2 linked regions of the Sus scrofa genome follow. The main gene of each other region encodes a partner of the protein of the gene in region 2 in a complex. Links are inferred from orthologs where the notes say so. Each region holds a gene or a part of one and is shown on either strand. Other genes may lie near its edges. The genes, in order: TCF25 and NEMF.

What was found.
Region 1: NEMF (region 2) and TCF25 share a complex: the UniProt entries of both Homo sapiens proteins name them as parts of the ribosome quality control complex. The link is inferred for Sus scrofa from reciprocal best matches to the Homo sapiens genes NEMF and TCF25.

What each region holds. Positions count from the first base shown.
Region 1 is NC_010448.4:205,991-210,318, forward strand, and holds the start of TCF25 (transcription factor 25), read right to left. Parts: upstream 2,850-4,328; 5' UTR 2,716-2,849; coding exon 2,524-2,715; intron 1-2,523. UniProt on the Homo sapiens protein: Component of the ribosome quality control complex (RQC), a ribosome-associated complex that mediates ubiquitination and extraction of incompletely synthesized nascent chains for proteasomal degradation.
Region 2 is NC_010443.5:179,636,416-179,640,227, reverse strand, and holds part of NEMF (nuclear export mediator factor NEMF), read left to right. Parts: intron 1-1,657; coding exon 1,658-1,715; intron 1,716-2,163; coding exon 2,164-2,222; intron 2,223-2,316; coding exon 2,317-2,437; intron 2,438-3,812. UniProt on the Homo sapiens protein: Key component of the ribosome quality control complex (RQC), a ribosome-associated complex that mediates the extraction of incompletely synthesized nascent chains from stalled ribosomes as well as their ubiquitin-mediated proteasomal degradation.

The sequences.
Region 1 (4,328 bases), on a different chromosome or scaffold from region 2:
CCCGAGCTCCGGGAGCACGCAGGTCATCTGACGGTGCGCGCCAGGGCACACGAGGGAGAAGAAGGACCAGACGAACTGGGAGGGGGCGTGTGACTCATTTCAAATCAGCAGGAAGGGTGCCTGAGACCCGAGGACAGGAGCGACCACGAACAGAGCTGGTCCAGGGAGAGGGGACAGCATGGGGGTGCCCAGCGTGGCTGGAGCAGAGCAAACAAGACTGGAGAGCGATGAGTGGGCCAACCTGGCCCCCACACCGCCGGGGGTCCTGAGGGAGGAGGGCTGAGAGCAGACGTGCGCGTCGCAGGGTCCCCGCGGCCGCTGCGTCCGGACAGTTGCAGAGGAACGAGAGGATGAGCAGGACTGGTGAGCACGACCCCGCCAGCGGCAACGGTCACACTGCAGGTACCGCAGCCTGAAGCCACCCAGGACCTGACAAGGGTGTGCAGGTGGGGTGTGAGGGAGGGAGAAAGAGTGGGGTGCCCTCTGGGCTGCTGGCTGTGGCGACAGAAAGAGTGGAGACGCCTGCACAGACGGGGAAGGAGGAGGAGGTGGAGAGGGCGGTGCGAGTTTAGACGCACCGAGGAGATGGGTGTGAGTCGGCGATGGGGAAGGAGGCCTGTGCTGGAGACACGGAGGCCGCAGCCGAAGGCAGGAGCGACGCGCTGAGCTGACTGGTCTCCGGCAGCCCCACGACCACCCCTCCTCTTCCTCACACCCAAGCACCTGGCTGTTCTTCTGACTCATTTATCTCAGACTTCTGTGCCCCTGTCCGTTCACCATCCTTGCTTCTTGAGCAGGAACATGAACTTTGCTTCGGAGACAAGGAGCGTGGTGTGGGTAAGAGCACCACTTCCCATCGAGCAGCAGGTGTCACTGCAGGTGGCACTTGCTGTCGCGCTTGTACAATGGGGACAATGACCTGCCCGACTGACGAACAAGACAGAGCAGCAGAGCCTGCGCGCGTAAATGTCCTCCAGTGACGGCTATTTGACACAAAACCTGGAGGATCTGGAATAAGGGGAAAACAGCCCTGACAGGAGGTCCAGGACACAGCCGACTGGAGCACGAGCCCATCACACCCTGTGCACAGAGGGATGGAAGGAAGAAGGGAGCTGGCGGTGCTTTCAGAGGTCAGAACAGCAACAGAAGGAGTTCCTGTCATGGCGCAGTGGTTAATGAATCCGACTAGGAACCATGAGGTTGCGGGTTCAATCCCTGGCCTTGCTCAGTAGGTTAAGGATCCGGTGTTGCCGTGAGCTGTGGTGTAGGTCGCAGACGCGGCTCAGATCCTGCGTGGCTGTGGTATAGGCCGGCGGCTACAGCTCCGACTGGACCCCTAACCTGGGAACCTCCATATGCTGTGGGAGCAGCCCCGGAACGGGCAAAAAAATAAATAAAATAAATAAATAAATTAATTAATTAAAAAAAAAAAAAACCAAAGTCGACAGAAAACTTAAGGATGCAGGATGGGATGGAAGCGCTGGGAAAACAACTGTGGAGGCTGAGGGGCACCTCTGAGGGTTACCCGTACGTCTCTGTGTATATCTGAAACTTCCCATGATACAAAAGTTAAAAAGAAAGAGGTGACAAGAAACGGGCAAGCAAGAAGGCTCCGAGGAGGCGAACGAAGAGTCAGGAGGACCCGAAGAACAACGGAGTCCCCCCTTCACCAGAACGACAAGGTCAGGCTCTTACCCAAGAGGAACAGGAGCAGCAATTTCTACACCCAACGCCCAGACTGGCAGCCCGCGCGCCCCACTGTCTCAGGAGGGGCCCGTAACTTGGCAACTTTCGGTAAAGTTGGGAGCAGTAGCCAGACCAAGAAGGAGCTGACAAGCATGGCTGGTTGCTCTATGGTCTTCAAAACTACTGCTACGCCTTCAAACACGCAGCAACAGCTGTGGAGTCCCTACGTGGGTGGGCACGAGGTGCTGGGGACATAAGGCCAGCGGAACAGGCATCCCTGCTGCACAGGGCGGTCAGGGCAGCAGGCGCTCCGCACAGACGTGCAAAAGTAGAGAATGAGGCCGGCGACAAGGAGACCCCGGTTGTTGTTACTTAATTCCCATCTACTGTGTCGTTTCTCTGGGCCAGACACCTGCCGGGGGGGACGCAGAGATGACCCAGAGCCAGACAATGAGCCCTGGGGTGTGTGGAAAAGATGAGAACGTTCGTGAAGGCCCTGCGATGACTCGGCTTCGGAGGCACTTAACCCTGAAATCCAGGTTGGAGCCCCGAGACCCCGCCCACCGCGCTGCGGTCCCGCCCCCAGAGCCGGCCACACCCACTCCGCCGCAGCGGGGACCCACTAACCCCGCCCATGGACGCTATGGCCCCGCCCCTCACCGCAGCCCAAACCCAACGTAGCACCGCCCCGTGGGCTCAGGCCACCGCCCACCCCCTTGGCCCCGCCCTCCCCACTGCAGCTCCGACCCCGCCGCCCCGCCCCGTGACGTCACGGACCCGCCACCTCGCAGGCCGCCCCCACCCGCTGCCCCCAGCCCCGGTAGCCCTGCTGCTCACCAGCTCGAACCGGTTGTTGACGCGGACGCCCTCCTTCCCTGTGCCCCGGGCACGCCGGCCACCTGGCCCCTGCTGTGGGCATTCTTCTTCTGCATCATCGTCATCATGGAGGACAAACTGCAGGGCGCCGGGCCCAAGGGGCTCCTGGCCGCGCTGTTCCCCCCTCAGCCTCCGGAGGGCCCGGCGCGACATAGGACCCAACAGCCGCTGACGTCTGGAGACCGGCAGAAGGAAGAGCAGAAAAGAGAGCGGCCGGCGCGCCTGCGCACTTACAGCGCGGTGGCGCGAGGCTGGCGCGTCGCGTCTGCGCGGTGCCGCTCTCCCGAAGTCCCGCCCAGTCGTCGGTATCATCAAAGAAGGTGCGTACGCTTCCGGACGAGTTCTCGCGAGAATGGGCGGGTCCGCCGGCCTCTGTTTCCTGTTCTGGAGGCGCGCCCGCGACGCACATCGGGACCGGGCGGGGCGAACCGGGGGCGCGCAGGCTCAGATCCTCAGGCCTCTGCTCTAGGCGGCGAGGTGGTGCTGTCGAGGTGGGGAGGCTCGGGCTGCAGCGGGAAGCCCGGGGGACCCAGTCCCGGTAGGTCGCCTCCACGGCCGGCGGCCAGACGATGCTGTGCTTGTGAGAAGTCGGCCCTCCGAAACGCAGGAGCTTCCCAAGCAGCGGATCGGGTCACCCCCTCCCCGGGAGACCCCGGGTCTGCCCTGGGAGTCTGCTTTTTGCTTGCGTCCCAGGTGATTCTCCTGTATACTGGGTGTGGGGATCCTTGGTCTGAGGTGGAGGCTTGCCACGCTTACGGTGTGTCCTAACGGTGATGATCAGGGGCCCAATCCCTAGAAATTCCGAGGTGGGGCCTGGCATTGATTTTCTCTTTATCTTCAGGAGAGTAGAATGCGCAGGCAGATTTGAGAAGCCCTGCACTGCAGAGGTGCAAGTGCCAGGCTAAGGTGGTTTGGCGTGGGTAATTGGCACTGAGCTGGGGTTGACTCAGTGTGGCGCCCAAGCCAGGCCCTAGACTGAGTTCTTACCTCCTCCTGGAAGGTAGATATCACTCCCCACCCTGCCCCTTTTACAGATAAAGACTTAAGAGAATAAGGAACTGGCTCAGGTAGAATCTGGATCTGCATTTGTGTCTGTGGCTCCGGAGTTCAGATGAGGAAGTCTGCCGACGGAGACCGAGAAGCAAGGCGGGTTGGGTTACCTGCAAGTACTAGGCCCTGGGATCGCACTGACTGGCACAGGCTGCTGCCTCAACCCCCTGCCCCACCCTCCAACCCAGCTACTGAGAGTTGGGCTCAGCTCAGACAGGACCTCCGGGGCACTGCCCTCCAGAGAATTCCGAGCATGCAGGGCCAGCCATGTCCACTAGATCTTGTGTCATCGCTGGCCCCCGGAGCGAACAGCTTATGCAGGCATGTTGCCTCGCCTGTGCTGGGAACGTGGGCCGGCCATCCCACGCAGAACTGCTCCTGCCTGGCTCCTGTGGGTCGGTGGCCATGAGGCTTCGAGCAGTACCTTACCCGAACAGGCAGCTCTGAACACTGTCTCTCCCTGTACTTTCCAAGGCCTGGTCCTCAGCAAGGGAAGTTTGGTTGTAAACACTTGCAGGGTAAGTGGCCTCTGTCTCTCATGATCTAAATTAGGGGAGGGCGCAGCACAACAATGGACGGAAAAAGCATGTATACATATATGTGTAACTTGGTCCCCATGCTGTATCGTGGAAAAATAAATAAATAAAATTTGTTATAAAAAAAATAAATAGGAGTTCCCGTCGTGGCGCAGTGGTTAGCGAATCCGACTAGGAACC
Region 2 (3,812 bases):
ACATAATGGCTGGTAACAAGTGCTATAAAGTTTTTTTTAAGCAGAGTAAGGGGATAGAGGAGTGAATAGGGGCTACCATTTGAATATAGTGTCAAGAAAGACCTTCCTGAGAAGGTAAGATTTGAGCAGAGACCTAAATGGAGAGAGTGATCCATGCAGTTATATGGGATAAACTGTTCCAGTTACAACTGTCATACTGACCTAAAAGGTCTTTCTCCTGTTCCTCTCTGTTAGAATTTTCTGAATTCTCGTTGGCCCTTCCTATAAAGTAGGTATATCCAGTGGGCTTTTCTATATACTTTGTTTTAGTAATTGTCCATTAATCTTTTTTTGATGATATTTCATTCCATATGTGACTTCACATTGCTATTCATTTCACATTTTCAAGAATTATAATTGATAATATACTTTTAAAAGGTCTTAAAAGCTATACAGCAAGATAAAAAGAATTCGATACCATTATCCTCTCTTAGATTGTTTTGTTTTATATGTGTTTATTATTTTCTGTTTTGCTGTGATATTTTGTTCTTAGGAAATAAATACCACTTCTGGGATTATATTTTCTGCCCCAGTACTATTATAAAAGTGGCTTTAATTCTTCTATGAATAAGTTTTTTTAGTGTACTTTTTTTTTTTGGTCTTTTTTAGAGCTGAACCTGTGGCATATGGAAGTACCCAGACTAGGGGTTGAACTGGAGCTGCAGTTGCTGGCCTACACCACAGCCACAGCAACACAGGATCTGAGCTGCATCTTCACCCTCCCCCACAGCTCAGAGCAATGCTGGATCTTTAACCCACTGAACAGGGTCAGCGATCGAACCCGAGTGAGTCCTCATGGATACCAGTCGGGTTCGTTACCACTGAGCCACAATGGAAACTCCTTTAGTGTACTTTTAATCCATCATATAACTATTACTGGTAAGGATATTCTCAGATTTGGGTGTTTCACAGATGTATAACATTTTTTTAATTTGTGGAACTACATTGCTCACTTCCTATATTGCCAAATTAAAAGGATTTTAATAAATATAGTAAATATAGGGGTTTTTTTGTTTTTTTTTTTTGTTTTTTTTTTTTTTGGTTTTATCTTTTTGCCATTTCTTGGGCCACTCCCGCAGCATATGGAGGTTCCCAGGCTAGGGATCAAATCGGAGCTGTAGCTGCCAGCCTACGCCAGAGCCACAGCAACGCAGGATCTGAGCTGCGTCTGCGACCTACACCACAGCTCATGGCAACGCCGGATCGATAACCCACTGAGCAAGGGCAGGGATTGAACCTGCAACCTCATGGTTCCTAGTCGGATTCGTTAACTACTGCGCCACGACGGGAACTCTGTAAATATAGTTTTATATCTTAATGTTAAACTTCCTAAACTATCCTTATTTTTCTTATTATGTCTTTCACTAAACGAAATGTGGATCAGTTGTGGCTGTAGTCCATGGCATTTGAAAATGATTGACTAGTGTATCCTTCTTTTCTTTGTTACTTCCAAAGATATCTGCCATTGAGGAGAGATCTATCCCTTCAGTGTCAATAATTTTTGCTAAATTATAAACCTTTCAGGACATAGTGCTCTTTACTTCAGTATGACTTTACTTTCTTAAATGAAAATTTAAAAACTGTATTTAAGAGTATAATGTATTATTGTGTTCCTCAGGTGTCTAAAACAGCACCTACTGGAGAATATTTGACAACAGGAAGCTTCATGATAAGAGGTAATGACTGGCCACTAGATTATGGAGACAGGTGTGAGGATCATCTCAGAAGAGAAACTGATTATTTTGATTTCATATGTGAAATGTGTTATTAAATATGGAACATTTTGTCTTGGTGTGGCAGATTTAGCATTTGACATGTCATCTCCCCATATATTTTTATTAATGACAGTGTGTTTTCACATAGTTTAAATTTATAGGTAAGAAAGTATAGCATGATCTTTTTTTCTAAAACAGGTTATTTAGGGTCTGACTAACCTAGAAGATGAGAGCAAGCATTCATATTTCTTCTTAATTCCTATTCTTATACATAATGCCAACTTCTGTATATGGGAAATGTTCTTTCATGACAGAGAAAAGAGAATAAATGTCACATTGTACCAGATATTTTACAAGCATAATGGAAAAAATAGATTTTTAAAACATTTATGTATGTTCTCTTTTGTAGGAAAAAAGAATTTCCTTCCTCCTTCATATCTAATGATGGGGTTTAGCTTCCTTTTTAAGGTACTCTTCCGTTTCTTTGTTTTTTGTTTTTTTTTTTTCTGATTTTCATTAGTCTTACCTAAAGTTCCACCAATGAAAATACCTATTTTCATAGGTAGATGAGTCTTGTGTTTGGAGACATCGGGGTGAACGAAAAGTCAGAGTGCAGGATGAAGACATGGACACCTTGCTGGGTTGCACAAGTGAACTCATATCTGAAGAAATGGAACAACTAGGTAGCTTACAGATTTTAATGAAGTAACTTATAGTGTTTTCTTTTGTCTAGTTTTGCTTCTAAATTTATCTCTTTTGGGGTAATTAAATTTTTAAAAAATCAACTTGCCATCAGCTTTATTGAATTTTTGATTTAGAAATGTTATCCTAGTGAATTATAAAGTGTCAATTGGATCTGTAACTAATACTTGAATACATGCTGATATTGTGAAACTTCAGTATTAAATGGATAATACATTAATGTGTTTAACAGAGATACCCAGAGACTTGGGAATGTGTGAATGAGCACATTTTGGTTTAGGATCCATAAGTGTTACAAAGATGAGTCTATAACAAGTACAATTTCTCACGAAAATTTAGCTTGATTCAATAGTATATTTGCTTCAAGTAGAGACCATCTATGGTTGCTAGAATAAATTAATCTACCTCCCTAGAGGAACTAGGGAATGCATGCCCTCTAAAAATTGTTTTTACATCTCCTAGGGTCATTCCTTTTTAGGGATAATATTTCATTTTTTTCACTTACAGCTACTATTGTACATGCTTTTTTTTTTCTAATTTTCACCATGTTCCTAACATATATACATGTGTATATACATGTATGTGTGTGTGTGTGTGTGTGTGTGTGTGTGTGTGTGTATTTATTTATTTATTTATTTTTGCCTTTTAGGGCCACACCTGTGGCACATGTAAGTTCCTAGTCTAAGGGTCGAATTGGAGCTGTAGCTGCCGGCTTATGCAACAGCAGTGTGGGACCTGAGCCATGTCTAACCTACACCGTAGCAGATGGCCACACTGGATCCTTAACCCCCTGAACAAGGCCAGGGATAGAACCTGCATCCTCATGCTTATGAGTTGGATTTGCTTCTGCTGTACCACAATGGGAACTCCCTATTTATGTTACTTTTTATTGAATTCTCACAACCATCCTTGTCAGATGGTTGGTGGCATCTTATTATATAGATGAGGTAACTAGACCGTATTATCACTCCTAGATAATGTTCCTTTTGTAAAAGTGTGAACCATTGCTTTACTTGCTTTATCTCATTTCAGTTCTCATGTGCAAATTATAATAAAAACTGCAGAAGTTATATAACTACTCTTATTTTCCTCCTTTTTGGAAATACCTAACAAAGACAAGCTATAGTTTTCATTGTAGAAGTGGTTGAAATGACTGAGAAATTTATTGTGATAAAGGATCTTGAAGATCATTCATTCCACCAATTTCTGATAGAGTATTCTTTTGTCTAAGTCAAAGTGACCTTTGGGGATGATGAGGCATATTTCTGATGATCTTTTGGAGAAACAGGGAGTGAAGAGAAAGTTTTTTATGAAATTTTCAAGGAAATCATCTAACTTTGTTGCAGTGGTAGCACT